Coturnix japonica: one gene and its partner. The protein of the gene in region 2 purifies or fractionates together with the protein of the main gene of each other region. This does not show direct contact. Links are inferred from orthologs where the notes say so. Each region holds a gene or a part of one and is shown on either strand. Other genes may lie near its edges. The genes, in order: YWHAE and SSH1.

Region 1 (16,463 bases), on a different chromosome or scaffold from region 2:
TCTATACGGCAGGAAAGAAGGGGAGAATAGGAATCATATGAAGATGACATCAGGAGCATTGAAGTAAACTAAACAGCTTGTTTGTGGCACGGTTCAGACTGGTACATGAGGTGAAAAGGTGCAGCTGCTGAGTAACACTCCATTCCAGAACTCAAAGGCTCTGGCCCATTTGGGGACACTGAGTTCTGGATGTAACTGCTTCAAACGCACTCAGTGCACCTACTGAATGCCATAAGGACAGCACAGCTTTGCACCTACGTGTGCACTCATCACTCAAACATTGTATTCTTTTAAGTTTTAAGCAGTTCTGCAGTGTTTGCAGCTCTGCAATCACTGTCCTGCTGGAATGCATCATGAACAGTAACGATGCTGCTCTTAAATGCTTCAGGAACAACAAAATCACTGGTTTTCTACACTGCAGAGCTAATGATGATATGGGAAATGTGGATGGGGATTATGTGAAAAAGGCACGTAAAGAAACTCTGCAAACAGTCTCATTAAATGTCTGTGGTAGGCAATGAGATGTCAGGCAGCTCACGTGCAAATAAAGGCTGCTTCTGGAAGATGTTCCAATGCTGCTACCTCACATCAGCCATCCAGCCTTGTTAGCTGTGCTGAAGCTTCCAAATGCAACCACAGCAAGGGAGGCACCTCGTAGCACTGCAGTGTCAGAGCAGTGTCCACACTAAGCCACCCACACATAAGCCCAAAGAAATGGGGGTAACGTTTTAACTGTAGCATCCACATGGTATCAAGTAAGAAGTCTGCAATGCTACAGCTGCTTTCTGAGGGGACACAGTACTGGGAAAAGAAGCCCTCTGACAGCCCCCATGGTGTAAGTTATATCTTCAATAAGCATCCTACAGCTTTTATTAAGTATCTGAAGTCAAGCTGGAATGTTTCAGACCTCTGAGTATCTAAGTGTGTAATACACTTCAAACAGGACTCACGTTCTTCTTTTACCTTAAGAGAAGGAACAGCTTTAAAAGCTTCATTCTAAAACAATTATTATTATTTTTTAAAACAAAAAAGCACAAGTTCTCCCTTTCTGGATAAAGCTGAGTTTAAACTGCCAGTATGTGAGACAAGGCAAACAAAGTAATTTACACCTGGCACTTAGACCAAAGTCTAAGAGGAAACAGCCTCCTTAAAACACCAAATAACCGTCAGATGTTGGTAAGCAGCACTCCCTGCCCGTGCTGGGGACACAAACAGCATCTGCTCTGGCCATGCCCCCTGTGGAGGCAGGAGCTGAACATCTGCTGGGAGCACTTCAAGAAGGAAAAGCTTTTCAAACATCCAAATATCAGAAGTGACCTGAGAGGAGGGTATCAGACCACTCACAATACTGCCTCCTGAACTGGAAATTCACATCTGGTTCAAAGGGGAACTGGAAGACCAACAGGCTAATTAAGCCACTGCTTTTTACAGTGTTAATAATCTCACACCTTCAAGTGTGAAACTGAAGAAGTTTCCTTGTTGGTGTTTTTACTGCTGCCATTCATGAGCTAAATATTTCTGAATGTGTTCTGGGCAGGAATGAGGAGACGCAGCAGTTCAGAGCTGAGCTCACTTACCATCACCCTGCATGTCTGAAGTCCATAGTGTCAGGTTATCACGTAACAACTGCATGATAAGTGTAGAGTCCTTATAGCTTTCTTCACTCAGCGTATCCAGTTCTGCAATAGCATCATCAAAAGCTGCTTTCGCCAACCTGTAAGCACAGAATAAAACCCATTTAGCGTAAACTAGGAAAGGGAATTCAGAAGCCTACACAAACCTATTACTCAGAGCACCCATCTTCTAGTTGGCGGTATGACAACACAGCCTCTATCAATCTTTTTTCTTCCAAACTGACTGCTTTGTGTGCCTAACAACAGTACTGACTCAATCTGTGTCTCCTTCAACATTACTACACCCTGCAGCTCTGCTGTTTGCTAAAAGCTTTAAGAAAGCACTCACCTAACCTGCAGTGATAGGACTGAAACGCACCATTTGCCTTGTTCCTTGTTTTTATGCCCACACAAACTAAATCCCTGAAGACAGATGAGATCACAGTTCTGAAGATGTCACTCATTTCTGTGCCCATGACCTCTCACACGTTGTATAAGACTTGTGTAAGAGCCAACAGCAAGAGGCGAGCTCAGTTACCTCACACTTCTTGCAGGACACGGACATGCACAGAGTTAACATGCAAGCTGTCAGGCTGCCATTGGTTCACTGACTCAAAGTTAATGCTATTCTGCTTCTCCAGTAATCTACTTTCAGATAAACAAATGCATGCGGGCTGAAAAGGAAAAGCTGAAAGCTATTAACATGACTTAACCTCAATCAAAGACAAAAGAAGAAGCCAACCCAGTATTTCTGAGTTAAAAGACATCACACCCAACTGGGGATCACACTCAGCTTGTTGAGCATGCACAGAAAATCCCCCCCATCTTCTCAGTTACCTGCAGGCACGATCAGGAGAATTAAGAATTTCATAGTAGAATACAGAGAAGTTAAGAGCTAGACCTAGGCGGATAGGATGTGTTGGTGGGAGTTCTGTCATTGCAATATCACTAGCAGCCTTGTAAGCCACCAAGCTGTTCTCTGCAGCCTCCTTCCTGTCATTTCCTGTGGCAAACTCAGCCAGATACCTATGGTAGTCCCCCTTCCTGAAAGCAAAAGCAGAACAAGAAGTTAGTCCTTACTTCCACACTCAGCCACAAAAACTGCTTACTTCCAAAACTTATTTTATACATTTACACATTAAGGGATGTTACTGCTGAATTACTGTCCAGACAACAGTGCTTCAGTACCTCAGAGAGTTTCAAATCACCAAGCAGGGAAAGGTTTGCATTAAATTTCTGTTGCTCTGGTACAGAAATCACAGTATTGGCTTCCCCATTACCCACCTATGCAGCTGTACAAGTACCTCATCTAATAGTAAATTTTTTTGCAGGTTTAAAAATAACCCACAATATACTTCAAATAGATGGGATCATTTACAGATAAAGATCACTTCAAGACTGTATGGTCACAGTTCATACATGTAAATATCAAAGCAGAGATGAGATCCTTGTATTATCTCAAAGAATGAACAACAGCTCCTGAGAAGCTCCGACCATCTCATTCTGAACTGGCCTCGAGCTCCTGTCTGCCACCAACAGCCCAAGTGCAGACAATGGGATATTCACTGCACACATTGAGCTGCCCTCCTCTAGGGAGAAATTACTGGCCTTCACCACGCAGAAAAAAACAACCATTTATAGTTACTGTATTCTTGTTATCTATTCCAGCTACAACATGAAGTCCTCACCTCACATGGCAACACTTACATTTTGTAATAGAAAACCTTGGACTCGCCAGTGTTAGCTGCTGGAATGAGGTGTTTGTCCAGTACATCCAGAATGTCACAACAGATTAACTTCAGTTCAGTCTCAACCTAAAAAGAAAAATAACCACAATGAGGCAAGGTCAGCACTGAGACTTAAAGGCTGCTCCAAAAATAATATCAAACAGGTGACAAAAAAATCCAAGGAGGGGGAAGATGAGAAAAAACAGAATAAAAAGATTCAGCTGTCCACAGGTACATTAAACAATAACAGCACAGGGCAATCAGCTGGGACACGGAGGCGAGAACTGATGGATGATGAAACGCATAACCTAATAATGGAATCCCAAATTCCCTGGAAAACATCTTGCTGGACAGTTGCATTACGTCTGTCTCAGCAGTAATTCCTTACTGCAAGACTTGCACAACCAGTGCCTCACATGTTTGAGCCCAGAAGGCTGTCCTAAAGTGGTCATGGTGAAGGGGAACAATTTGAATGCAATTAAGAGAGGTAGGCTCAACTCCCTCTCACCCTTGGGGTTAAGCTATACGTTCACAACAGGTTTTCACTGCTCACTTGGGACACAGAGAACCCTACAACACAAATCCTGCAACAACAGATCAAAAAACATCACAGACAGAAGGAAAAAGTCCAGAAAAAATACAAACTTCAGAAGCAGGCAATAAAATAAGCAAAGCACAGCAGAAACCATTAACAGCAAGGTCAGCAACAAAGGAAAGCCGGTATATAGTCTTATATGAGACTTTAATGGCCACAGTTGGAAATGGTCACATCACTTTTCCTTCCTGATTTAGAACATAAAACAAAGGTTATAAGGTTGGTTTCTACCATAGGAAATGTCACACCTGAAAGCAAAGAAGTGAAGCACCTTCAAGAGAAACCACCTAAAAACTGTCTTTGCACATCAGCATTGCCCACAACAGATTTGTTCCAAGCACTCCTCATTACTCACAGTAGGAGGGGTTGGCAAAGTACACGGCAACCCACTGCTGCTCTCACAATTTAGCATTAACTTACATAGCAACAGCTAGAGACAAATGCAGCTCAAACCACTGTTAGGTTCCATAGAGCAGAGGTTTTCAAGGGAAGGCATCAACATCAGCTTCAATGAACCAGGAGCTGCACATCTCACATCACAGGGCAGCCCCACCAGCTCGCTGCCCTTCTCACCCCTCCACCCATGCAGTTTCCTTTCACATAAGGATGCTCTTACTGTGCCAAATCACTACAAAGCTCCAAACCATCGCTGTCTGTACCCACACCCAGCATCAAGAGCTGTAATGCTGCAGATCTAAAGGAAGTTAAACTGGCACATTCCAAATTGCACCAAGTTACTGAACAGACATGGAAAAGCTCCTTCAGGTAAATTCATCTATGGTAAATGTCATATGTAAACAATGTTGGGATGCCCTAACATTCAAGTGGGGAGTTAAATGCTATATTAATGCTTAAGGAAGTTGCTGAAATATGGTCACTTGAAGTATCTACTTCATATATTCTTGTGCTACTAAAGCTATAAAACCTTTGCCAGCAGTCAGTTCCTGCAAACTTCTTTCCTCTTGATCCTCTTTCTCAATGACTTCTTTTGCAGAGATCTTCAGCAAAACTGCAAAGAATTAAATCAGTTTCTAATCTTCTTTTGTTAAACCATACATGTACAAACTTCCATTTCATCTCAGATCTTTTTCAGCTGTGTTTCAAGGATCACTCACACGAGTTACCAGAGATCAGCTGCTGATAAGGGTGATGTACATACCCTGATCAGGCTTTAAAACTTAGAAGCTTTCATACAAACTGAGTTAAGAACAAAACACTAAGAGAACTATGCCCCCCAGCCCCCCCTCATAAAATATGAGCCATATGAGAAGGCTCATCCCAGTACGTGTGCAGCCACAATCCACTGTGCCTCTGTTTTAGTAGCAGTGCTGGATTAAGCAGATTTGATTGTGTTCTCAGCTCTGCAGGTACAAAGCCCTTTAACCACCTAGTGATTTTAACAAAGAAACTGACTGGAAGCCACCAGGTGGTCGGGGCCCGCACTAATTCCTTGCCCCAATTCAGTATTTAGCCCACAGAAGAGCTGTGCCTCCTAACTGGGATGCAACATGAAACCAATGCAATCGGCAGCAGCTGCTGAAGCCTGTGAGCTGCCTTCCTCCTTGTGCCCCTGAAAAATGAAGAGGGCATCAACACAGCCTGATGTGATGCATGAAGAGGTGAAGGTGGCCTGGCAGCTTCCCACAAGCTCAGCTTGTTAAGCACAAGCACTAGAAACACATGTAAATACAGACCTTAAGGGGAAGGTGAATACTTGTCCTATGCTATTAGCGAAGGGATTTGCTCTTAGAGCAAGGACGTGAGCTGCATCATCTGCAAATGAACACGGCTTCATCCGCTCAAGGGCAAGCTGAGAAAGCCTGTGTTCTCATGCACAGAGATGTAATGGAGCCACGAGCTCCACTTCTGCACATCCATCCACATGGCCACACATCCAAAAAAATGCAGGAATCACACAGGCAGCATTTTTTCCGCACGGCTACGATGTGCTCTGCTTCATCCGCCTTAACATCTCACACCATCAGCCCTTGAGATCTTCCCCAAGTAATACTGGCAAGAACTTAAAAGTCTGCGGAGTTTGAACACAACCAAAGTGTTAAACTGGAACAAATACCAATACAGACAAAAAAACATCCATCACTTGCCCATAAGCTACATCTTTTATTTCAGCTCACGCAGCAATTTCTAGCTGTGCAAACCCACCGCTGGTTCTGGTGACAGGGGAAGATTTCTCCACTGACAACGCTTCTCTCCACTCCCCAGGACCTTAAACATGGCCTGTCCCTGAAAAAGCACTTTTTTTCCCCCTCTCCTTCCTCAGAGTCTCACAAGCATGGGAAGGATCTCTTAACAAGATTCAGCTCAAAATCAGGAATGCAGCAACAGCGTGTATTTGTTGACATGGCAGGCAGTAAGCAAAATAACCCCAACTCTCCAGACCTTATCTGCTCCCCCAAGCACTGAGTATGACAGCAGGGCAGTTCTGCAGCTCTCATGTCAGCAGCAAAAGAGAAGCTGGACCCAAACCTTTGTGTATGTTCTTTAGGCCCTCAGTGCTCAAATTCTGCCTTAACAATCCAATTAATGCTCTCCACATATAAAACAGTCTTCCAGTAGCTACAAACAAGACTCGGTCTTCAGCTACAGCCAACAGCACGAGCCTCTTGGAGCACTCAGGCCAGGCAGGCAGACACATCTACTCTTTCTTCACCATGGAAATGCACTCCTGTGCTCCCCACAGCATTCTTCCACTTAAAGCTCACAGCACCCAAAGGACCTGTGATGGCTCTTCCCTTGAAGAATTTAACACATGGAAGTACTGTTGTATAGCAGTGCATTCTACATGGCCTGTACATTTATCTCAATACACTACTCTGAGGAGTGTATGTGTGTATAGTTCTTGCTCACCAGTCCATTCTGCACAGCATTTTCTTGCTTTAAAAAGAGATGCAGAACAGTGTTTCTTCATTGTCTCTGGAAGGACTATAAAAAGTCTTTTCACTATTAAAGGATCCCTGGAAAAGATAGTAACTGCCTACAAAATGTTAAGCAAAAAAACCCCAAAGCATGAGGTTTAAGACAAATGATACTGTCTTAATTTATATGCTCTGCTTGGAAGATTTTAGATACCCATCAAGAAATGGTATTTGGGACTGTATGTAACTGGCAGAGCTGCACCCCATCAGCACGCCAGCATAAAATTAGAAACTCAGAACTTGAACAATTCCACAGAGCAAACAAAATGCTATGAGTCAAAAGAGAACAGTCCAGAGCCATTCTTCAGAAAGGAGTCCCAAGCCAACATCGTTCCCATTGGCAGCATATGAATCAGTGCCAGGTAGTTAAAAGAGACACTCCACTGTTTCTGTGAGAGTGAAGATGGGAAACGTGGAGGCACTTATCCTGCAGTGATGGATCTGAAGTCTCTGCAGAAATGCGTAGGACTTCAATTCTACATGAGAGTGTCTGCTCCACATTAAACCATCACTTAAGGAGGCCAGGGTTGGGGGGGCAGGGAACAGCTCACTGTTCTAATAGCCAACAGTTTCATTAGCCCTCACTGATGAAAGGCTCAGCTCACTCCAAGTTCTCCATTTTAGGTAAAGCTGCACAGGCTGACTAGACTCACCATTCAGTTATTTCCATCTATTCTTCCCCCCTTTCTGAAGGGAGAAAATAGCAAGGCCCTACAGCTCATTATACATCTAAGTTTCACAGTTGAGACGTCCAGAATATCTTAATATTCCCTGTTCCTACAAACACAAGAGTGCTTAAACTTAATGGTAACAAACCCAGAGTCCAGATCTTCTTAGCTAAATGGCACTACACTACAGCACCAACTACATCTTACCATTTGCCGATATTCCCGAATCATTTTTAATTTATCTTCTCCTCCTTTGTTTTCTTCTTTCTGTTCAATGCTGCTGATTATTCTCCAGGAAGCTCTTCTGGCTCCAATCACGTTTTTATATGCAACAGAAAGCAGGTTTCTTTCTTCCACTGTCAACTCCACATCCATTCCAGCCACTTTCTTCATTGATTCAACCATTTCTAGGAAGAAAAGGTCACGCAGTTATTCTCAGTATTAAAGCATCTTTCAAACCATTCACGAGAAGCAGCGCATTAATGATAACTTGTCAAAATAGGCTCCCTCCTCCTTTCATCCAGTTACACCTTGCTTTTATAGAGGAATGCTCCAAACAAGTCAGCGAGCACATACACAAAGAACTACCTGATGCTCTTTCAAATGCATTTGACAAGGGTACCCAAAACATTCCTTCAAGACAGTTTGAGACACAAACAAAACCAGCTTAGCAGAAGGATTCCATAGAAGCAAAGCAGAAAGAACACTGTCGTTATGGAAGCAAGTTGAAGTTCCACGAGGAAACCACCAGAAGAAAAATCAACTGCTTGGAGAAGTGACAGGAGAGTCCTCCTGAGGATAAGCAGAGCAGCACCACCCAGCCATGCCAAGCAACTATTTGCACTGGAAAAATAACACAGTAAATGTAATTTGTATTTATAGATTAAACCGTTTAGAAAAGACTCCCAAACCTCAGGTGAAAAAAAAAAAATGATTACTAAATACAGCTTTTCTACGTCCCAGTGAAAGTAAAAACCTAAATTACTTAAAGGTTTTAATCCTTTCATTACCTCATCACATTATGATTTCCTATGACCTAACAGAAACATAAAGGCTGAAATTATTACATATCTGCTGAGAGAGCTTAGTCTGAGATACCCGGAAGCCCTACGTTACCTCCTGCTAACAAGTGCTTCACTCATTCAACCTTTACCTTTCAGCTTCTAGAGCAGATGAGAACCCCACAGACAGGAAAGCCATTAACGAGCAAGACTGAGCCCCCTGCAGCCCCTAACCCTATCTACCTCACATCCTCATCCTCCCCTACCCCCAAACCTTCACATGTTCTGCTGCATAATGGCAGTAAGAAAGAAGATGCAAGTGAATCTGAATTGTCTTTCCCTTCCCCCATCAGGTGCCCAAACTCATCACCTTCACAGGAAAGAAGCCATTTCAGTAATAGAACTACAGCCTCAATTTTCTCCCTTGCAGGAATGGTGTTATCAGTCTCCAGCAGGTTGCCACATATGCAGGACAATTTAATAGCAGCTCTGTTCTCATCAGGAGTAAAAAACAGCCCTACCTCTACCAGTACATTCTGCTGCTCCAGCTCATGAAGTAACAATAAGTGATACTTGGGTAAGTGTTTTCCACACCCTACAATTTAAAATGAACTCTTTTTGATGAAGATTTCAGAAAGTCATCCTAAACTGCTCTTTAAATATACTTAGTGTAAGTACACAGTCTCATAATTTAAACTAACCTAAAAGCAGTGCTATATAGTTACAGCAAACAACTTGAACAGTGCATGCTCTAGGATTTCTTTCCTAAAGGGTGACCCATCCATCTATTCAAATCATCTCAAAACTTTGATCTTTTTTTCCTTAAATCATGAGTTATGTTCTCAGATTTTCATGTTACTTATGCAGCATTCAAGTACATTCAAGGCAGTCTGCCTGCCACAGTGTTTGCTCTTGTGAAGGACGACCAACACGAATGAAGACTCGCAGTCCCAGCTAGTTGGATATCTGTGCCAAGCTCCAGCAAGAACCATAAGGCTTGTATTTTAGCTTAATGTTTAACTGCCCTCAGATAAGAAAAGTAATTGAAACTGTGCCACAGCTTCAGCGATGAACCCGTAGCTGTGACTGCACAGCCCTCCTTTCACTCCTTGAAATGAAAGGAGTCATATGAGTTCATGAGCAGAAGAAATACCCCCTAGAAAGTAATGCAGATAACAGGGGAGGTGGTGATGCTGTGCTCATCTTTCATGCTCATTTCCAGGCATCCACCATCACTCTGAAGATCTTTGAATGTGACCGCCACCCTTCACCCAAACTTGTACTGTCTAAACCTTTGTATCTCTTTATACATCAGTGTGACATACGTAGATAATTAACTGCTCCAGGAGCACAGAGGTGAAAAACACGTACAGCAAGTTTATTGGCTCCTACATCATTGAAAAAGGAGCAGGAAATCACACCTGTACATTCACCAACTGGAAAAAAAACCAGCCTTATTCTAGACTAAGAAATATTCTATACAAAGACACACACCCACAAGCAGAACAAGTATTTGATATTCTAGGTGCAGCTTCAGCTGTCTGGAAGATCCTACGCAGAGATGAAAAGCTTGGAGACGATTCACGACAAAGTACAAGTCTGAGATTACATCTCAGTAAGAAGGATTATGGCAGCAATGATAACCCACTGCACACCTCAGCTGAAGATGTTAACGCTGCATTACAGAAGCAGCAGCATCACATGGATTCAAAAAGAGCTCGTCATTAAGTGGTTAAGTTCCAGCCTTGTGGCTGTCACCTTATTAAGCCACTGCCACATCATGCCACAATCAGAGCAGGAAATCCCCAGAGTATGAATTGAGAAGATAGGAGAATATTCTGGATATCTATTGACTTCAATCCTTCCCCAGGCCTCTGCCATGGGCTGTTTTTGAGAAGTATTTTAACAAATGAACATTTCTGACTGAGCAGGTAATACCATTTATGTATTTTATGGGGGGGGGGGGGGAAAGCATTTCAGTGAGACACAACACTGCCTACGCTTCCACAACAGTCCAACAAAACCTATTAGTTATCTGTCCCTACAGCTGAACACTGCCAGGATGATGGCTGGCTCCTGCTGGTGCTGCTGTGGAAGACACACAGGGACACAACCACAGCCTGAGCAGCACAAAGGAATAGCCGGGCTGCCATACTAAGGGCTACTACCTCCAAGGGGGATGTGCCTCGGGGCTAGGCCTTCTGTTTTAAAGAGGAAGAAGATTACTACAGCTTTAAGTCCCCAAATACAGAGTTTGGAGCGCCTGTAAATCACGATGAAGCTTTCTAAAGCCCTTAAGCATAACTATAGGTTTTTCCACCTTTTCCAAAAGGTAGAGGAACAGCCAAAACTAAACTTATAAATGCTCAGGGTGTATCCATGTCTTTAAAAATAGATATATCGAGTCAAAGGAACTGATCTAAAACACAGTTCCTTGAAAGCACCACAGGGGAAAAAAGAACAATACAATGCAGTACTGTAGTTCTATGGGTGGACTGCAATCCATCACGAAGCAGAGAAGCATCCAGAACAGACAAGGCTTGTGCAAGAAATGGAGCCATTTGCTTTAAATGCTAATGGACCCATACAAAGCCACAAAGTTAATTTACTGTGCGCTAAAAAGTAATGGGGGAAGTTTATAAGTGTTGAGAAGCACAGCACTGATAGCCATCTATTAGGGCACAAGTGATGAGGAAACAGAGAACAAAAGAACAAAAGAATGAATGCCTCTTTATCAGGGGGAAAAAAAGACACTCAAGGTATTTTCTGTTCCTCAATCTCCCAAAGACTGAACAATCCAGGATCTGGAGCATCCCTCTGTAAGGAAGAGCAGCAGCCAACACACTACACGTTTTGTAGAAGAATTACAAAGCTTTTCCAAAACAGAAACCAACATTTAACAGCAGATTAGGAAGGAGAATCACTGCATATCAACCAACACCAGAACCGACCTGACAGCTTTATCATCAGACTGAAAATGGAAGTCTAGGTCAGTGATTTATAGAAGTGACAACAAAAACCACTCGGCATTTGCCAAGGCACCTCATCGGAGGATCTTTAAGGATTTCTACTGCTATCAGGTACAGATCAGATCCTCTCTTGAATGGAGACCTGGATGAAAGAGAGCTAATGGGGTACGAATGTAGGCTCAGTGTTCAAAGCAGAGTAAGGTCACCAGTGGAACCACACGGTGATCAGTGCTAGGAAGCATGTTAGCATTTGTAAGCGATACAGAATAAAAGAGTATTCAATACTAATTTAGTAGTCACAGCAAATTGCTAAGAGCAATAAAGACCAAAGAGAGCAGGAGAAATAATGGCACACGTTTTCTCTATTAAGTGATGTGTAACCATGAGAACTACAGCCCATAGATTCCATTCTCTCCAGACGTGCAGCCCTCTGATCCATGTGATACCAGCAGGCACCATCCTATTCACTGCAATGATCAGCCCCGAATCCAAGCCAAAAGAAACCAAGGTCTTAAATGTTGGTGCACCCCAGACAGTTCTAATGTTTGATTGTATGACTGAACTACACAGTTCTACAGAGCATAATCCCATATTAATGCTCTTGAAGAAATAGATGATCGAGACCAAATAATTCAACTAACAGTTGCATTTTCTGCACAATCAACCTACCAACACGATTTCTAAGTCATTTCTATATCTTCAAGTTAGGAAGATGTATCTTCCTAAAAGACAGAGGACTCCTACTAACAGAAGAGTCAGATTGAAAGCAGAGGCAAACAAGGACTGAGTCTCATCATACATTTCAGTTTGACTGAGATCTGCTACTTAAGAGTCTCCTAATACAAGAACTTGAGTAAGTTAATGGACACTAACCCAGTACGTGGGCTTCCTGCAGGGCACTGAGCCATCTAAGGTTGGATGCTCAACACTTCTGGTATCTCAGACGTTTCAAGAGGCAAATTATCAAAGGTCCTCACACAGCTCTGCTGGGCAGAGGGGAATTACACCCCTCAGATGCATTTATATTATTTACTTGAAAGAGGACCACTGCAAACTGAAAATTATGAGCAACTTAATCATTCATCTATCTCATAAGTGAGAATTTGATTCTTCAGCAAGCTGTAATTGCAAGTCCTGCTACTGTGAGCCAACTCATTCTACAATATGTTCAGATTTTGGATTCAGTGCACACCTTGTTGCCTTCAGAGGGAAGGTTTGCTTCTCTGGCAATGAGTTAATAGCAACACAGGAGTTACATGTTGACTTGCTGTACTGGGAATCAGGAGAGCTGTCAATTATCTTCTTCCCAGCTGTAAACAGAGCTATTATCCTCACCTGCTACACCCTGGGTAAACTTCAAATGATGTATTTCAAGATCTGTGGCACAAATCTGTTGGCAGGACTGAAGCACCCACAGGATTCACTCGGAGCTTACCTTCTATCCTAGCATGCTTCTCTACTGATGAGAAGAAAGGTGCTACCTAGCTTCTGCAACAGAGAGTTAGTTTTGACATTCAGCAGTCCATGAGAACGCAGATACATACAATCTTTTGATGTGAGAAAGTAAAGAGTTAGTGATTTCATAAACCAACGCAATTTTATCAACTCCAGTTGTTTCCCAGAAAAGACATTTTATATATATTACGCAATTGGGAACCATCTTTGAAGGAACTCAAAGGGTTTTCACTCAGGGTGGTGACGCACTGGAACAGGTTGCCCGAGGAGGCTGTGGATGCCCCATCCCTGCAGGCATTCAAGGCCAGGCTGGATGTGGCTCTGGGCAGTGGCGACCCTGTACATAGCAGGGGGGGTTGAAACCAGATGATCATTGTGGTCCTTTTCAACCCAGGCCATTCTGTGGTTCTATCAAGTGCAGGTAAATGTGATTTTTTTTTTCCTCAAGTACGATTTGTCACAAAGCTTTCTCTAATACAAGTAGGCTGCCCGGCATTTTGTGATCTGTCATGACACGCCTGGGTAGATCCGTAAAGACAGACACCCAAATCTCTTACTATCTCTAGGGATCACAGCTTTAAGCATTATTTACACTGCAGAGGCACCTAAGAAAGTTGTCCTCTTAATCTGGGCCGATACACCAAGGGCTGTACAGAGACAGAACTACATTCCCAACAACTGGCAGGCACAGCCTGCAAGGCTTCAGAACTTAAGTGGGTCATGTAACTAAAAAAAACCCAAAAAACTTATTAGATTCCTACCTTAGAAGCTGCCTCAAATGCCATGGACCATGGCTGTTCTAACCACACAGCACGCTGAGCCTCACTGAGAAAGATGTGGCAGAACGTAACGCTATCCTAACATTAAACATCAAAAATTGTCATTTTACATTCATATTCAAGTCACAGAACAGGTTTCTATTCCAGCACATTTGTAGCCAGTACTTACCATCAGTAGTATCTGGAAGTTATTCACTATTACCTCACCATCATGTATCTCAAAGGTAAAACTAAAGAATGAAACTAAGCATCACTTCACTTCCCCACAGCATTTCATTCACATTGAGCAGCCTCAGCACTTACTTTCATGTAAATGAGAATATACTCTTCACTTTTTAATTGCTTCCAACTGAACGATACAGAATTAGATGCTAAACCTGTACCTACAGTATTTATTTTTCCAGGCCAGGGACAGAAAAAAAGGCGGAAAGCTATAGAACAACATGGAGAGTTAAGGGATGCACCTTAAATTTGTTGATTCAACTCCATGCCAACAAATTCTGCAAGTCTGAATCCCACAATATTGCTTTAAAGATAAGAACACTATGATTATCATTACCTCCTCAGTGAGGGTGTTCTTATTAACACTCAGAAGCCACACAGAAGCCCTCTGAATTCTGACCTAGGCAATTCATTCTTCAAACACCCACTGGAGCATTGGGATTGGAAGCCCACTGACTGCCTTTGTGTGGCATTTCTATCTCTATCAACCTTTTTTGATAAGGAAATCAGGCTGTGCTGCAGATTTCTACAATAAGGGAAGGTCTGATTGCTTTCCAAAGAAGTGACTTCCCATTCAGCTAGGAAAGCATCAGTTATACCTCAAAAGGATGATGTATCCCCCAAACATCCTTAGCCTGGAGTTCCATTCAAACCACAGCTCACCCCTGCGCTGAGGCTCATCTGTACCAGGTGAACAAACCCTCCCCCACACACACCCCAATACTGCTGGATTTGTGGTCTTTGTGGAAGATGGCAGCAATGAGAACAATGCACCTTCCCATCCCACACTCCTAAGGAGACAAAAAAACCAAGATACCCCAAATCTACACCCCCCTCCTCAACCACTTGTACCCACAGATGTTGCTCTCCTACTATGAGCTGCATCTTACTTGAAGGGGTGGGCACAAGTCACCCCACAAAACCTGCTTTGGGGGACGTTTTTTCCCCCAAGTCCCTGCAGTTACAACAAGGAGACTATCTGGCTGCTGTCACTCAGTACGATTCTTATTCCTACCCCATTTCTACCAGAACATTCACTGCAGATGGTCTTAATTACTCCTTCATTTCTGTTTTCCTCCCCCAAAAGGTGTATTTCTCAGCTTTGGAATCCCATTATCAGAAGTTTTCTAAGCAGTAACTCAGAGAACAAAGCCTAATTCTCACCAGCTGACTTCCCTGCTCTGTGAAAACCCTGATCAATTAAAGGACCCAAAGCATCTCCCCACTTCTAAATGAAACCTAACTGTACTCCCACCCTTTACACACACACCGGCTTTTCTTCCACTTGAAATACAGATCTAAGGGCAGAAATAACAACCCCATTGAGAAAATTAAAGGCCCTTTCTTCTATAGGCAAGAAAAGCACCTTGAAGGGAACAGTCACACGGCAGACATTTTGGGGGCAAGAAATACCATCCAGGGCTGCCAGCTCCTCCCCACCGCCCCTTTTTTTTCCCCAAGATATAAAGGGATCAGAGCTCTAATTTCATAAGGCAAATGAGGGAAGGGGGGGGGGAGGAAAAAAGAGACAAAGTGGGAACGTAAAATGGTCTGTAATGATTTCCAGCGTGTAATGAAAGCATGTGTTCTTCCTTCAGGTAATGACGGGCAGTGCCAGACGGCTGCAGGGTGAATGAGAGCCGTGCCTCCAATGGAAAGCGAAGGGAGAGAAAGAGAAGCGCCATCCCGCTCCCTCGGGTCCCTCCGGCATCGCCCCCCCCGAGGGGCCGGCACGAACCTTCCGGAGAGCGGGGCGTTGTCTGCGGCGAACCGAGCTCAGCCCCACAGCGCCGAGCTCCGCGGGGCCGCGGCCGGAGGGAAACGCAGCACTAAGGAGCCGCCCGGCACCGCCACAGCCGCCCGCACGGCGCTAAGCAGTGGGGTCTCTTTGTCGGACCCCCGAGGCGGGGGCGGCTCCCCCCTTCCCCCCCCCAGGACTCGCCCTTCGCGGCCGCCATTTTCTTCCCGGCTTCTGCCGCCACCGCCCCCCGTAGCGGGCCACGCCCAGGCCGAGGCCGCCCGCTCATTCAGGGCCCCCCATCCCCGGTTCCGCGGCCCTCGGGGCGCTCCCCGGCGCCATTTTGTCGGCGCCCCCCTCCTCCGCCCCTGCCCCCCCCACCCCCGCCCAGCCGCCATTTTGTGGCCGCTCCCTCCCTCTCTCTCCCCTTGGCCTCTCACGGCCTTCCCGGCCGCCGCTCACCATCGTAACGTTCAGCCTGTTCGGCCAACTTAGCCTGATAGACGAGATCCTCCCGATCGTCCATGTCCTGCAGGCGGAGCGGCGTCGGGGAGCGTACGGGGCGGATGGAAGCCGATGGGTCTGTGGGGCTCAGCAGCTACCAGCTCGCTGCTCTCCGGGCAAATATGGCGGCAGCACCTCCTCCCGCTGCATCCGGGCACTTCCACAACCGCGCGCATGCGCCCTACGGCATCCCATAGCAACGGCGGCTCCTTAGTAACGGGCGGGATGTGGCCGGGCCGGGGTTGGGACCGGCCGC
Region 2 (16,463 bases):
AATGACAAAGCCTCATGATTGGCATGGTCACCCAGAACTGAAAATGGTTTGCCTCCAACTCTGCCCAAGCTCAGTTCTGCCTCATAAAACAAGAACAATGTTTTTCTGAACAGTCTGGCTGCTGAGAAACACCAACACGCTTTTCAAGTACAGAGAAGCCCTCAATGAATTACACCAGAGCTTCAGACAGCTAATTTCCATCTGGGGTGGGCTGACAGAGAAAAGGTTTAGAAAAGTGCAGTTAGACCCAGGCTCCTGCTTCTGCCCTTCCAAAGAGCCCCTCTGTGTGCTGGTGAGGCCTTCAGACTGCAGCACCACACACACTGTCACTGTCTTTTTGTCTTGTTCATTGGCAGAAGGGTTGATTGCCTGAATCCATGGGGCTCAGTATTTTGCGATATACTGAAGCTCTGAAGGTTGTTGCCTATAATGCGGTCCCTTGATTTCCTGCAGATCACCTTTCTGTTCATTCTGTCCCCTTACCTTGCATCTAAAATGCCTTCATACTCCAGGAGCTGTCTCATGAAGCCTGCATTTGGCCTTGCAATGCTGCGTTTCTGCTTCACGTAATTATAGGCTTTTTCCAGTGACCAGCCAAACTCCTTCATTGCATAAGCTATCACAGTGGACGCAGACCGGCTCACGCCCATTTTGCAGTGCACCAGGCACTTGGAGTGATTCTTCCTGCAGAAAGATCAGGAAAACACCTCTCTAATCTTTGTGCTTATCATATATGTTGTTAATGTCTTAAATGGTGGAGGGGCAGTACTTTGTCCTGCTGACTGCTCTAATACCACAGCTCTGTAGGTCACAAATGTTTTAGACTAAGATGCCTATGAGAAGAACCCGTCTCCAGAAAGGTCAGCCTCAGCCATGCTGTCACTCCAAAGGCTGCCATGAAGCCTCCCACCCACTTGCCCAATGCTTTGGGCACAAGGATAAGCAGGCACCACCTGCATGTGACAGCCAGCAGGGTGTGATGGGCTCTGCCACCATCTCTTAGGCTCATCCAACAAGGACACGTGTTGGAATATTTCCAGAACAACTCAAGTAGAGGAAATGTCCTCGTTTCCTTTTAGAAGCAAAACAAAATAATAGTAATTTAAAAAGCCGTAGGTTAGAAATGGGTTAAAACCGGCACAGGAAGACACAAAGTACACGGAAGCTCTAGGGACACAGAACTCCTGGCAGAAGATGTAACACAAAGCCCAGCTGCCACCTCCAGCTGCAGAGCTGGCTGGAGCACATGGAGGCAGTGTCACCTCCCCCAGACCTCAGACAGCTTCTCCTGTGGCTTGGATTGGATGCACTCTGCTTGGATGCACTCTCATATCGAGCCACGTCCCCCAGCCCACTTACTTGGCCTTGTTTATGAAATGATATGCCTCGTTCCAGTGAGCCAGGAGGTCAGTCGTCTCCTCGTCATACACCCGGATATTGTGATAGGCAAACAAGCCAGGGAAAAAATTATCTATTTCCCTGGTCACGTTCAAAATGTAGTCAATGCTGTGGAGAATGAAAAGAAAAATGGAGCTGAACTGCCACGGTCACAAAAAGGAAAGTGATGCACATTGTGAATCTCCTGATTCCTGCCAAACACTACAGCAGGGTTTACAACATACGTAGGGAGAATGAAGGCCCGCATTGATTTACTACTTCATATCATTTAGATAAATCAAGGCTGCAGGTATTTGTTTCAGAGTTTGCCCAGCTTTGACTTCTAGGCACTGCATGTCAAGACGCCCTCACCATAGACCAGAAGCATTGACATGCTGGTTGATCCACTTGCTCAAAGATGTTCAGACATCTGTTCCCAAGGATTCCAAATTAAACATTTTTAGTCATGCTGTTGAGCAATAATTTGCAGTTTCTCACATCAGAGGCGATGTATGCCTTGGGAAAACTGCAAATATTATATGTATCACTCATCCAAAAAGCCTAAAAATAAATCAAGCCAAGAAGTGGCGTGGTGATGACAGTGTAGTGAAAGACAGCCCTGCAGCTGCCTGTCTGGGCAGGTGAGGTGGGGATTGCTCATCCACAGGAAGTTCTGCTCCATTTAGATGGAGTTTTTCCTGAACTCTGCACTGTAACATTTGCTCTTCTGCAGCCTGCAGGAATTTACACCTGACACAACAGCATGTATGCCTGCTTCATACTTGGTTGCTACACACTGGGAGATCTTGAAGTTTCGTTATTTCTACTTCATATGTGATGGAAACGAGGTAGGAAAGTTTTCCTGATCAAAGTCCTGATGATCAGTTACCCACATTGCTGGGAACTCATCCCTACCATCTACAAATGCCACATGGCATCTCAAGAGACCTCAGTGTAAAAGTCAAATGACTCAGAGGCTGGAAGGCGCAGTACTCACCCCGAGCCCTGCAGCTCCTCCAGGTTAGAGGCGTTCCATTCTGACCCCTGCAACAGTCACATAGATAAAAACCATCTTTCAAAGGAGCTTCTCCATTTCTTAAGACACTGAACTGCCCCCATTCTCAGCACTACTCCTCAGCTGCCAACTTAAATGCTGCAGCCAGACCAGGCTTGTCCTAACAGCCTCAAATTTAGGTACAAGGAATGTTCACAGCCCCTCTGAAATCAGAAGAACTGGGGACAAAATGACGTGGGGTCTGTGCAGGAAGAAATCCTGTAAGATGCAGGAGTCAGGGGTATATTCAACCCCAAATCACCACTCCCTGGCCATTCTGGGTTTCTAACCACATAGATAAATAGTGCAGGGAAAGAAAAATAACGATGTGTGACATAACTGGGATCACAATTACGTATATGAGAAGTGTGAGGCAAATCCTGGAAGTTCTGGAGGTGATTACATCGGATCTCACTGTATCCACAAAACAGAAAGTTAAATAGGGTTTTAAAAGCCAGTTTTGCCCTCAGACATCAGCAGTTTGTCTGACTCTCTCCAGGAAAAATAACAAAACACCTAAAAGTGACCCCAGCATAAAAGGCACAAATGTGTTCATCTCAAGCAAGTCTTTGTTCCAGATGGCAGCATCTGGTTTTGCTTGGAGTTCCATCTAGTGGCAAAACATTACATAGAACACACATCTTTGCTTCAACATAAAGTTGAAGGGCACAGGACCTTCAGTCTTACTCCTCATACAGCTTTGGCCACGCACACAGAACTTGATACCAAATGCAGATCCCCCAGTGACCCATAAGGTCGCTCCCACTGAGCCTTCAGCTCTGCTGGAGCTCCTAAAAGGGCAACTTACCAGATACAAGTGATCAAAAATCAGAGAGGGTTTGTCCATCTGACCCAGGATAAGCAGCATTTCATTGTCTATGAATTCCTTGAATTCTTTCAAGTTGCAATTCATGTGTTTTTCCAGCTCATTCCGGATCTGCAGAGCAGAAAACAAAGGATGCCACCTAGAATCATCTCTGTTCAATAGAAACATTTATTGGCACTCTTTCACAAAACACTTTTTATGTACTTCATTAAAGACAGCAGGAGGGATTCAGCCTTTTGGAGGCAAAGAATCTCACTACGTGGCATCTTAGACCCCCCATATCTGAGATCTGTGAAGAAGGCTTCAGATAGCATCCAAGTAAAACACACATATATCATGCACCTCCTTCCAAAAAATAACTTGAGATGAACAAGACCCAGGAGAGCAACTAACAAACATGAAACTCAAAACCCAAACCTACATAGAACTATTACCATCTGCTCCAAGTACATCTGCACTGTGTCCCTGTGGGACAGATTCAAACTAGTCTTAGCCTTGACTTGTGACTCTTCATCCATAGGCGCACCAGCAAGGTCTCACCTGTAAGCCTCTCTGACATTGTTCAGAAATAAAGAAAACAAAACCTTGAAGTAAAGCCAATGAGGAGAAAGGAAAACGCTGCTACTTAGCACACAGTTTGCTCTGTGTCCATGAACAAGTGAAGACCAGGATGCTTCTCTAAAACAGCGGGGCATAGTCACAGCTGGGAGGACACACAGCCAGTAACTGCATCTTTTGAGAGAGCTATCTTTGCTTGTGTGATTGTGAGGAATAAGTGGTTCCAAATTCACTGCTTGGACATGCCCACAAGTGCTGCCAGTTGTAATGAAGTATCACCTCCGACACCGCTCTGGCTTGTTACTAAGGTCTTGAAAACTGTGCTCTAATATTGGTATGACTCTCTTTTACAAATAGAGAAACAGAGGTGTAGCAAAGCCAAAGAGCAGAACCTTTGAGGATCAGTTGGAAATACATTCAAAAGCCAAGGGCACCTCATTATACAATGTCTCTCTGTCAGTATAATATCCTCTGGAAAAGGAAAAGCAGGAAGAATAAAAGAGCAGGAGTTTTTTCTATTTACCTCCTTCGAAGTCACATTTTCCAGGTCTTTGCACATCATGATGCTCCGGAGTTTGGCTTTAATCAGGCGTTCTGTTCGTTCCCTTTCAGTCGGCCTGAAAAGGAAAAGGGAAAGGATGTCTCCAAACCAGCAGTAAACACTCCTGAGACAATGCAACTTGGACAGCACAGAGGGCTGGTGGGAAGGACTTGCATTGAAAGCATCTTGACCAGGAAAATGGAAGAAAAACATTAGAAGGCATTTAAGTAGAGAAAGGAAATTAACTGCCAGAGGAACAAAAGGGGATTTCTCTTGTGAACCAAGTTGACTTTTCATAATAAAACTGAGAACTGACTTGTCAACAAACAGAGCTGGAGAGTCAGGGCGGGTGGACTCCAGGTCCTGCATGGCATTCCACTCATTGATGCAGCTCTGGTCAGAGCTGATGCAGCTTTCATAGTACGTAGCCCAGACCAAGGCCATCCCACCTGGGAAGTAGTTGTACCTTCTTGCAACTTCACAGGCTTTATGGAGGATTTGTAGAGCAGACCTGCAAGATTGGGAACAAAATTGTACAGGCATAAGCACACATAAACCAGGATTAAGAGATTTTCATAGAAGACTTCTATCACTGTGTTGCAGTTTGCTTTTTTGAGAGCTGCAGCTTTATTGCATCAGAGTTCATGGGGCATCTTGGAGGCTTTCTCAAGAGCCCATCTGAGACGGAGGCTCAGATTTTCTCCTCATCAACTGGCAAGCATGAGGCACAGTCACTGTGGGACCTAATCATTAGCTAACTTGTAAAGCCAGACCAAAGGAAAATAAAGAACATGGACAATTTTCAAACCACCTTCAGCAAGGAGTCAAATACATATTTACAGCATTCTTGGCCCCTGACACGCTCCAGGGACAGGGCCCAGATTGGGTCATTTGTTTTTGTAAAACTTAGCATTACTTTTTCTTTCCTCCCTTCCCTCCTCCATTTTTCCTTTCTATTTATTTCTTTTAATGCTCTGCTCTGAAGATGTCGTTGTAGTGAACATATTAACCACATCTAAGGCTGCCAACAGGAGGGGTCGAGTTCAAAAAATGACAGGAACAAGTTTTGTTTGTTTCTGTACCAAACCATCCCTAACACATCACCATTCTCTACCCCTTTATCTTGTCCCTACCAGCTATCACAAGCACAGGAGTTTTGAGGCTCCACAAAGTACCCAACGAGAGGCATTTGTCCTGTTTGGGGCAAATAAAGCCTCTTCAAGAAGGCATTTGCTGGCACAGCTGCTGCTGATTCAACAGTCTCTGCTTCAGCATTTTGGAATCCCTGCATATGGGAGGGGTGACAGGAGCTGAAAGGTAAGCATGATTGCAGAGTGACACGGAAAGTTTCCATGCAGAAGCAGCCCCAGCCTGGCCCCAGGAATGGGGCAGAGTTGGAAATGCCATCAGATTGGCAATGGGTCACAAGACTCCCTCATGCCAGGGAGGTTATGCGTGGAGAGGAAAGGCTGGGTTTGCAGCCTGATGAATTCACGTTGGGCTTTCAGGTCTGTACGTCTCATTAGTGCCATTTCCCATTGCTCTCATGTCACAGAGCACACAGCTGCAGCAGAAGACGCTGGTTTTGGATCAGTGCTCCCAGAGCCCCTTTATAGCATTACTACCAGCTGATAGAGGGAAGCAGCATCTCAGCTGCAGCTTGATAAATACCAGTTATGGAAAATGCTAAAACGCAGTTTGTTTGTTGTTAATTCATTCACAGAAATTACAGCCTCTTTCTCAGTAAAGCTAATTGGCACACATACCACATGGCTTGTACCGACACTGGCTTGAAGATGTGCATTCTCCCAGCAGTGCTCACACTGAAGCCACTAAGAGAGAGGGGAAAAAACAGTCACAAACTGCTCTTCTCTGCACCTCAGGCTGCTTCTCAGAGATAATCTAAAGGAATAAGGGATGAGAATTTCCATCACCAATTTTCCATTATCTTCCCTAACAAAAGCAACTAGTGGACACCTGCCATACAGCGCCAGGAATGGGAGCTCCACCCCTGGAGCAGGATTTTGGTAAACACTTACTGGATACGACAGGTTCTACTGAGCGTTCTGAGGGCAGCAAAAGAAAAACTCAGTGTCTGAGTTAAAGGACTGCAGCCACGAATCTGAAACCGGGACTTCAATTGTATGGTGAGAGTCTCTATCCCACAGCAACCCCCAGAAGGGAAGGCCGTTCATGTCTATCCTTTCAATGGGGTTTCTTACCCATCGCCATCAAGATGGATCTTAGTATCACTCCACAGACGAAGAACCATTCCTATAGTGCAGCTTTTACTGGAAGAGAAACGTTAAGGATGTTAAATATAGGCCACAATGCAGTCATGCCAATATCCTCAATTATTAATAGTCTTTAATTTTTAAAGTCCACTAGCCTTGCTTTAGTAATTGCTCATAATATCTTCAGCTATTTAATGTGTAGCACATAAGGAAATGGGCAACTAAAGTGAATCAAAGGCTCTGACAAAAGCCAGTTTGAACGCACACGTAGACAACGTACGCCCTAAAACTCTGAGAGGAAAAAAGTTTCTTATTAAAAACACGTACAAGGAATAAAGCCCACAAAAGCCTGACCAGCCCAACTGCCAGCAGCCAGCACACAGCTGAGAAGTGCCATTTCAGCCCCAACATGGAGCCTTGGAGTCCCTCGATGAGTCATTAATGCCAACAGATTTCTTTATGTGTGACGCTTTTCCTTAATTAACAAATCCCTCGGTTTTCAGAGGCAACTGAATGAACCAGCAGCGGATCTTGCAGTTAGGATGGATGTGCTGTTACTTTTCCATCTCTCCTCTCATCTCACAACAATCACCTCCAGGGGCAAATTACTAGAAGGTCACCATGGATTTGGAGAGGACAATGCCAACGCTCCCTGCTGCTGCACACCAAATATGCCAGAAGGGAATTTAATGCTGGAATTTCCTCCCTAACACCAACAGTGGTAATTAAGAGCAGACACAGAAGCAGCACCAAAGCCAAGTCAACAGTCTCCTTAGGAAGGCACTGCTAGGAGTTCACTAACAGGTCTCACTGCAGTGCAAAAGCTCTCCCTTCCCACTTCAATCCACAGACATTTTCCAGACAAAAACACAAAGTCCCATTGGCCATATCAGCTCAGCATGGCAGTGTGCTCAATCTACCAGGGAACAGAAACAAGTCAGGAAGCTCTGCCTTCTAACTCCAGCTCTGCCAAAGCAGCCTCACCTCTTCCAGCTCAGAGCTGTTCTTGGTTTCCTCACCTATAACTGGAATTATGTGAGAAGGTCTGCAGCAACGTTTTATTTTCATTTCAAAACATTCTGGGCTCTTATCAGTCAGACAAAAGGAACAGCTCATTACTAACACATTTGTTTGTTGGTTTTGGAGGTACTTCTGCACTGTTGTTGTTGATCCTATTTGGCAGCTAACCTACCTGAAACAGCTCCATTGCATCACACCACGAACAGACTTGAAGTCTGATGGAGCAAATAAATTCCAGTTTAGGAAACGTTTCCACAGAAGCATTTTGTAGTGAGGAGACAGCAAGCTACCACAGATGAGGTAGATACCACAGTCCTCCAGATGGATTCCAAGTGAATGCTTTGCCCACAGCTGCATAGAGAGCCTAAAGATTCTAAGGAGACTGAAAGTTCTCTGAGACAAAAAGCGCTCTCACAACAGTCAGAAGAATTAACAGCTATGTCTCTTCTTTTGCTAGAGTACGTAAAAATTAACTGCTTGGGGACGGCTGTTGACAAGCTTTCCAGAGAACCCAGCCTGCCTGATTTCCAAGCCTAGTTTTGCCTTAGACGTACCTCTCCTTGCTGGAAAAGTCCACACCCAGCAAAATATTCTCTTCTGTGTCCTGCCGCCCGTTGCTGTACACAACCACCATGTACCGGACTCTGTCTGTCCACACACTTTCCAAACGGACAGCCTAGGAAAAAGACATCAAGCTCTGCAGAACTGCTTTTGGATAATCTTTACTTCCATTGCTGATTAATATTTTACAGGTGTAATTGTGCCTCAGAGCTTTATTTAGCTGCAGAATGAAAGATAAGGAAAGAGGTAGTTCCAAGCAAGGCCAGTTGCCAGTTTGACTTGGAATCAGGAGATTAGAAATAAGAGCAGCCTGGATGATCTGTCCTACATTGTTGAAGCATTAACAAACCCAACCTGGAGATTTCTTCTAAAGATGTTTAACTCAAAAGTGGGTAGAAGCACTCACTGTGCACTAAGCTGGAGAAGCCCAGAGGGTTCTTCCACACAGACAAGCCTTCACTGAAACATTCTGTCTTGCCATTCTAGAGGGAGGTAATTAACACAGACCCAACTCATATCCTGGATGTAAGGATCAGTCCCAAAGGAACACACAGGGAAGCATGGTGGGGCTGGCAACCAAGTGCAGCAGATTGAAGCCAACCACGGATTTGCCGATGCTTTCTGTGACCCTGTACAGATCTGCTTCAAACACCTCCAACAGAAAGAAAGGCAGGAAAATGCACTTGTTCTTACCAGTTTGATTCTATCCTCGCAGCGAAGGAGGTTGATCATCACCTGGAGGTGCTGGGGCAAATCACCTGCAGTGAGAGCAGAGAAATGATCAGAACAGGTGACTTGAACATCAGCAGCTTGTGAGGAGAAAGGGCTGCAGGAGTGGCTCTATTCAGGTGATGCATCCCTTCTGCATCAACTAAAGGTCTGCTCATACAACTGCTCCAAAGTGGTGGATATATTTCTGCTCGGTGAAAGTGAGCAAAAGGAACAAAGAATCTACAAGAAAACAATCCAAATTCACATCTAATAACTTGGTAACACACTCATAACTTTCCATAAAAGATAAAATTCCTTCCGTAGGATGTTTGCTGGGTATATGAAATTGCTGACAATTGAAGAAACCCAAAGCCACGCTTGGCATTCAAACAGCCTCTTTGTGCTTGGAGTGTTTACTAAGCAGCAGGCACACAGTACCACACTGTGCCTTTCCCACATGCTTCTGCACTCAAAATGCCCTGATGAGCTTATTTCTTCTTGCCCCTTAACCACTTATTACCAAACCATCAACGACAGAAGGCATAAAAATACAGGATGAGTGGGATCCAACTTCCTTAAACCCCGTCGGCTTATCAGCCCTTACAGACATTCACCACACAGCTCTCCTCCCACCATCTTGGAACACTGGAGTGCGCCAGGAGAAAGGACAAGATGTTCTCAAACCATGAGAAATGTCTGCAGGCCAGATTTAGATCAGTTAACTGAAAAGGGGATTTCCTGAAAGCAGAAAAGGGGGTGGAAGGAGCTAAGAAAGGGCCTCAAATCCTAATAAAAGTGTTCCTTACTTTTGAGAAGTAGCATTGAACAAAACTAACAACAGGTGGTTTAAAAATAATGATAATAAAAAGAAAGATGCTGTCATATGGAGTCAGACTGTGGGAGGCTGGGAGAGCACTTAGGAGAAACGTCCCTGATGCACTGAATCAGGAGCTCGGTAACCACAGAAGGGGTGCTGGAGCCTCATGACTCAACCCATTGCATTTTCCTCCCCACAGGCCAGAGGAGAAGGCAAAGATCAAACCACTGAAGCAGAAATAAGTGACATTTCTTCATTGCAGGCTGCAGAAGACAGGGTTCGGCACAGACTCTGGCTCAGAGGGCTTTGCTGGCTACAGAATGCCACAGTGTCTGTAAAGAATAAATTCCTGCTCCAGATACATTTCCAAGAGGATGGCAAAAGTTTAAACAAAGACACAGTCACCAAATGTTCATATTCAAAACACGTGGATTGAAAACCTGGTTTTCCACAGCAGGTTGTACAAAACCCACTGTTAACAGTCAGAGGAGCCATCCACCACCCACACCTGCTATTGGGCTGTCAGTGTGGAAGAGGGGAGAGGGGATGGAAGAGTGAACAGAGCATCAGGCCGTGCTTTAATCCATACCTGCATGTTTGTGAGGATGCTGGAGACTTCGCTGGCCCTGGGAGCTGTTTCCTTGTTGCAAGAAGAGGGCTGCTCCTTTCACCATGAAAAAACTCTCGCTTAGGCTGGAAAACAAAGGACACAGGAAGTCAGCTCAAAGGAAACAGCAGCAAAACGTGTGCTCCAGTCGGTGTGCCTGGGGAAGGAAGGGCTTCTCTTTGTTAAAACACAGCAGGATCTGCCACAAGAAGCTGCTCCCAAAGGTTGATTCTGCCACTTGCAAGGCATGGCTCCAGGATTATTCACAAAGAATGGTGTCATTTTCCACCAACATTTTCTTGCTTGGCCATAGCAGGAGATGCTTGCCTGAGCTGTCACGGACTGAAACGACTTTATCACTTGATTATCAAATTCTGTAACTTAAAAACAGTAGTGGGTAAGAATTCCTACAGGCTTAGACCTGTAAACGACTTCGGATCAGGTCTCGAGTCAATCAATCCCTATTAATTTCAGTTCTTGAGATTCCTTTGGAATGCAGAAACAAGAACGTGGGGCTATAAATCACAGACATACAGGGCAGGGAGGGAAGGTGAAACCTGCACAGAATGAACTGAAACTTCAGGGCAAAAAGCAACAGACCCAGCAGCAAAGGCATTTCTCTGCTCTGTTGAGATACAACTGACCTGGGAAACAGTGCTGATAGGAAGAGAGGGCATAGCACAAACACACACACACACAAAGCTGCATTCATGATCAAATGAAACACGGCTAACGAGAAGGCCAATCAAAACCAGCAGTTAGAGCAAGGAGCAGCACAAGCCTACTTACACAGTCCTGTAATGCACTGCGAGAACTTCACAAACAGACCTGGACATAAGTGGTAAAGTTGGTGTTTCCCACAGGGCTGGAAATGAACATCTCCTAAGCTAAGTTTTATCTGCCACAGTAACTGCTTACCTTGCACTTCCTACCCCACTCCAAACGTCAGGCAAGGAGACATTCCTTGCTACAGAGCCCGACTTTCTGCCATCCCACACTTCCCAACATACACAACTGTTCATTACTGGCTGCTATCAACTAAATATAAAAGCTCCACGATGAGGCTGTGCTGCGCTGGAGTTACTTATGCTACAGCAAATGGTCCCACAGGAGCTGCAGCTCCCAGTGCTCATCTGTTCTGTGCTATGTCTCTGGTGTCTTTGCCTCTGTCTAGCACTGAGCACCAGCAGTGTGGTAAAAAGTCATCAATTCAAGCCTTCCCAGCTCTTGCTCCAAGTTGGGTCTTCCTTCTTCCAAGGACAGAGCCAAAGTTTGCAGTTAGCTGCCTGAATGCACAACGTTCTTCAAAGCTCCCAGAAAAGCTGGAACAGGTTTAAATTTGAGACTTCAGTCCCTCCTAAAAAGCAACCTAAAAATCATAGCACAAGTTCCAGGCTCCCTCAGCCCTATCTCAGACCAACAAGCTATTGGCAGGACAATTGCACAAAGCTTTCCCCATTACTGCTCCTGCAGCACTCACCCCTGGCTCACCGGGAGCTGTCAGCGATGGCCCCGCAGCCCTCACCACCAGCACCCACCGACAGCAAGAATCCCTGCAGGCAGGTTCTTGGTCCATCCCATAAGCAAGGCAGGAAGAGCCCTGTTTCCTTCTCACTCCAGATCTAACAGGAAAGCGTTAAAAAAAAAGGACAGAAGTGACATCAAAGCCGCAACACCAACACAATGTATAGGATGTTCACTAGAGAGCAGCCTCGTGCATACCCAGCTGGTTTATCAGCAAGAGGAAAGGAATGGTTAGATAACACACAGCTCCTAACGCTCTCATTCACTGCGGGCAGGAAACCTTCACAATAAGACAGAATGTTCCCAGTTGGAGAGCTGTGCTGGGGGAGCAGAAGTGTCTGCAGGCAGAGGTTGACCAGTACAGCACACGTTTTGCCACCGGGTATTTATCTGCACGGCAATGAACTGAAAAGCAAATCTGAAGAAGTGACTGAGAGCAAGATTTCTGGTCTAGTTTACTAGTTTAAAGTGTTCTTGCTTAAATGCTTGCGTCTCCATGTGCGCAAAGCACAGCACTAAGTCAGCTCATGCTCCCCAGCTGCTGTTGGATGCCACCAGCACAGTGCTGCACAACAACCACTATGAGTTCTCCCGGGACACCGCAGCAAAATGGTGAGGTTACCCAATGCTGACCCTTAACTCTGCTCCGAGAACACTTTGCCCTCAGCCACTCCATACAAATCCCCTAATAGCTAACAAAATAAAAGTGAGAAAAAAGCGTGACGCAATAAAACCCAGCGTTCTGATGCTCTGAAACCCTGCAGTCCCAGTAAACACCCGAATTCCAGCTTTAAAAACAAAAGAAACCTCCCAAAGTACAAAAGAAGAACCCCATCATTACAGAGCCCCCCCAGCTCCCTCCCCAGCACCAGCCTTAGCAAGCAGCGTTTGTTAGTGGCATAAATACGAGTGGTTTATACATACTAATTTGGACTGGTTTTCTTTGAACAGCAGAAGCATTGTGCTGGCCCAAGAGTCAGGCAGAAGTCAGTAAATTCGAAAAGATTCATAACTAGCTGTAAAACTCACATCCTTTTGCTTCTAAACCCACACAAAAAGAAAGAAAAAGAAAAGGTCGGTCGTATATTCTGCGCCGAGCAATCGCATCTGTTGATGCTACCCAGGAACTGGATGACTTCTACAGAACACTGTGTCTTCCACTGATATCCTGGCTTGAAAAAGCACTTGTCCTAACATATCCTGATGAAAGAAGGCCATTCAAGAGGGGAAAAAAACAGCTGAAGCTCGTCTAATCACTTCCCTCCTACAGACTGGTGCGAGCTGTTTGTTTCCTCCCCATGCTCACAGAGCGATGCAGGGCAGGATGAAGTGAAAAGCATCTCGTTGATGCTTACATCCCACATTGCTCAGTGCCCTGCTGGTTTTTACAGTTAAAGCCCTGTAATGGAATGTCTACGTGGCAAAGGCATCGTGGTCAGATCAGGATACTTCCCAGCTTATGGTGCAGCCATGTGCTGATGCGCTGCTGAACAAGAACTTCTTTCGGGTGGTTTGGAATTCCTCTGTTAGGGACTCCCTATAACCAAATTCAATGAAGACTGATTTCTTACCAACCCTTGATTAATTCCTTCACCACAGCAGCACCAGTCCCCCCCAGAGGAAGAAGCAGCTTTTTGTTCCCTTTTTGTCCTGCCCCATTGGAGCACACAGCATAACCCTCCAATTTGCTGGATGCCCTCCCAGTAATCCTAACCTGCATCACTGCTTTCCAGCAGCTCCTTTGGGCTCTCAAAGAAACACTGAGCATAGTGGTTTTGCTGTAGCATGGGATCTGGGAGCTCTAAGAGGGCTGCAGTGCATCCCCTTACCAAATGATCTCAGTGGGAGCACATTAGCCCCTTAAGAGGGCTAAAACCTAAACTTACAGGCACCTGGGAGAACTGAGTGTCAGTAGGAGGGTGCTGATAGAACAGCTGCATTTCTTTGCTGGCCTTAAAACAGAGGCCCTGCTGTGCCTGCAGTTCTGCAAGGAGAAGATGGCTCTTGACTACAGCACCTCCTTGCTCTGTCCGCTGGCTCCACGCTGCTCAGCTTTAAAAGGAAATATTTCTTCCCCTTTGGGAAAGCTCCAGAAGAACGTGGCTGTAACACACATCAATTACATTTCAAGTCGCTTCAGAACACAATAGGCAGCGCCTCATAATCATTTCAAAACACCATTCCCCGAGTCTGCAAAGGCAAACAAGCAGTCTACAGTCACCCTCCATCCTCAGCAGCACCCACACTGTGTGCCCTGCAGGGTGCTGTGCTCCAGCAATGCTCTGCAATGGAGCCTTGTTAGGCACAGGGCCATGCCATGCTCTCCTGTCACTAAATGTTTGTCAAATTAAGTCTCTTAATTTCTCTCTTGTTAACAGAATGACACACAAAAATGGCATGAGGGCAGAGGAAGGCATCGGTCCATTGGGGCTAAGCTGGAGCTCTCTGGGGACAAGGGCTGCTTCCAGGCTTCAGCAGCCACACCAAAATAACAGCAGCCACACCATGAAGAAACCCAAAACATCAGAATCAAAAACATCAGCCGTGAACCACAGCAGAGCCCTGAGCTCATCCCCACGGAGTCAGGGCATCCCCCATCCATCCCCATCCAAGGAATGGTAAGGAGAGCAGAAGACTCAGCAGGGCTGGTGTGTTTAGGGCTGCGGAGATGCAAGGAGTCTGAACACGCATTGTTAGGCTGAAGGCGTGGGCCACATTCACAGCACAAGAATGTTGAGAAGGGCTGGAGACACTGCAGGCCATTCACAGCGCCAGATACTAATTCTCCTCCAGCACAAAGAGGAAAAAGAAAAATGAAATCAATCATGGAGCCCACAAAAGCTGATTTCCTAAGATAAATAGACTGCTTCCAGCCACTCCTGCTCACTCCATGCAGCCTTCAGCCCTGCTTTGTGGGGACAGTGGGGACAAGAGGGGACTCGGCAGCTCCGTTCTCATCCCATGGCTTTGTGCTATCCCTGACAAGCGCCATCCCAGCACCATTCTGGCATGGAGCAAGACCCAGGTAACAGCTGGAGCCTTGTCTGAGAGAGAAGCAAGAAGAGGGAAGCAAACGCAGCTCCCCATTTCAGCAGAGACTCGTGCAAAATAAGCTTGCAGAACGGCTCCCAATGGCCTGGAGAGAGAAAATGCGAGGAATCCTTGGTACGTGATGGTGAAAGGCCAAATAAAACAGAGATTGTTTCACAAGGCAAAAATAAAAGTAAAAAAGACCAGATCCTTTTTGCACATCCCATTAATTGCAGAGATGGGGAAGGCACTGAGTGCTGCATCCCCAGCTATGGGACATGCTCAGAGCGAACACTTTGAATGGCAGCGGGCATTTCTGAGATTCCCGCTGGAAAATGAGGTCACTGCTGTAACAGCTGGAGGGCCAAACCCCCCCCACAGACCTCAGCCCATCCAGCAGCTGCTTATTCCCCAAATGCTGGCTCCCTTCCCTTGCCCTGTGCTGTCCTACCCGTTCCTTTCTGCTCTTTTTCCTAACATTTCTCTTTCTTGCCATGCTAAAGCCACAGCTCCTTCAACCTAAGCCATTCTACAATATGATTCTATGAGGGCAGTGAGGCTTTCTTCCAACCCAAGCCATTCTATGATACGGTATGAGCCCTCCAGGAGCAGCTCCTGCCCTGATCTCCATCCCATTCCCCAGTTGAGCTGGTAGAAATGGCCCCATCCTCCAGCTTAAGGGATGAAAACAATGAGCTGTGTCATTAAGTTACCCCACTTCACCCACTGTCAGCGCTTCCCAGACACAAGGAACAAGTGGGAACTCTCCAGCCACACTGCTGGAAAAGAAAAGGAAGGTGAAGGATGGTTCCATGGCTGGAGAACACAGCTCCCAAACAGAGCGAGCGAAGGTCAGCCAGGACACAGCCAGCAGCATGGGAAGCAGCAGTGGCACAGCAACCCATAAAACAGCTCCGCTGCTGCATTTCAGAATGACTCCAAAAAAGGCAGCGGAGACCAGGGAGTACTTGACACACTGGTAACGTGTCAAAATACAATAAAATAAATCCTGAAGCATCACGCAGGGTAAAAGAAGGGTAGGAGAAGTTCCAGCTTGACACAGGCACCCCCTCTAGCGTTTGCTGCAGGCTGCCTTACCCATTGAACCCCCAGAGAAAAGGGTGAGCAGAGTGGATTTCGCAGGGAAAGATGAGTGCACAGGGGCTGAGTGGAGCCCTCAGCCCTTCCATCCGCCTTCTTCATGGGGCAGAGAGGCAAAGCAAGCTCTGCAGAGGTCCCTCTGATGTGCAGAGGATGTGCTTTGTGCTGTGAGCCATTCATTTGAGGCTGCTCTTATGCCTGCCTTACCTTGCTTTCTCAGCGTGCCCTTAGAGTGCTTCCACATCACAGCTCTGAGCACCGTGTGAATGCTGATGGAATAAAAACCTCTGTGCTTTTCACTGGAAGTGAAGCCATGCCTCTGAAGGTGTCCTGTCCATTTCACATCCTCCACAACCTCCCAAGGGCACTTGTCAGGTTGGCCACGGCCCCATTTGTATGAGAAATCCCTGATCTCGCAGATCTTGGCAGCTGATTATCAAAGATTAAAGTATTTAACAAATCAGGAGGCATTTGGAACCAAAATATTTTCCTGACCCGGCTC

The links.
Region 1: the proteins of SSH1 (region 2) and YWHAE purify together in Homo sapiens (affinity purification with mass spectrometry; 3 studies listed by BioGRID and IntAct, with this or other methods). This does not show direct contact. The link is inferred for Coturnix japonica from reciprocal best matches to the Homo sapiens genes SSH1 and YWHAE.

What each region holds. Positions count from the first base shown.
Region 1 is NC_029534.1:3,990,937-4,007,399, reverse strand, and holds the start of YWHAE (14-3-3 protein epsilon), read right to left. Parts: upstream 16,367-16,463; 5' UTR 16,230-16,366; coding exon 16,166-16,229; intron 7,947-16,165; coding exon 7,747-7,946; intron 3,428-7,746; coding exon 3,321-3,427; intron 2,658-3,320; coding exon 2,451-2,657; intron 1,715-2,450; coding exon 1,578-1,714; intron 2-1,577; coding exon of another isoform or gene 1-1. UniProt on the Homo sapiens protein: Adapter protein implicated in the regulation of a large spectrum of both general and specialized signaling pathways. Binds to a large number of partners, usually by recognition of a phosphoserine or phosphothreonine motif.
Region 2 is NC_029530.1:5,725,415-5,741,877, forward strand, and holds part of SSH1 (protein phosphatase Slingshot homolog 1), read right to left. Parts: exon of another isoform or gene 16,169-16,463; intron 13,817-16,168; exon of another isoform or gene 12,841-13,816; coding exon of another isoform or gene 12,755-12,840; intron 11,918-12,754; exon of another isoform or gene 11,787-11,917; intron 10,393-11,786; coding exon 10,289-10,392; intron 8,930-10,288; coding exon 8,865-8,929; intron 8,287-8,864; coding exon 8,165-8,286; intron 6,648-8,164; coding exon 6,579-6,647; intron 6,189-6,578; coding exon 6,123-6,188; intron 4,868-6,122; coding exon 4,673-4,867; intron 4,433-4,672; coding exon 4,339-4,432; intron 3,369-4,338; coding exon 3,240-3,368; intron 2,422-3,239; coding exon 2,375-2,421; intron 1,507-2,374; coding exon 1,360-1,506; intron 685-1,359; coding exon 484-684; intron 1-483. UniProt on the Homo sapiens protein: Protein phosphatase which regulates actin filament dynamics. Dephosphorylates and activates the actin binding/depolymerizing factor cofilin, which subsequently binds to actin filaments and stimulates their disassembly.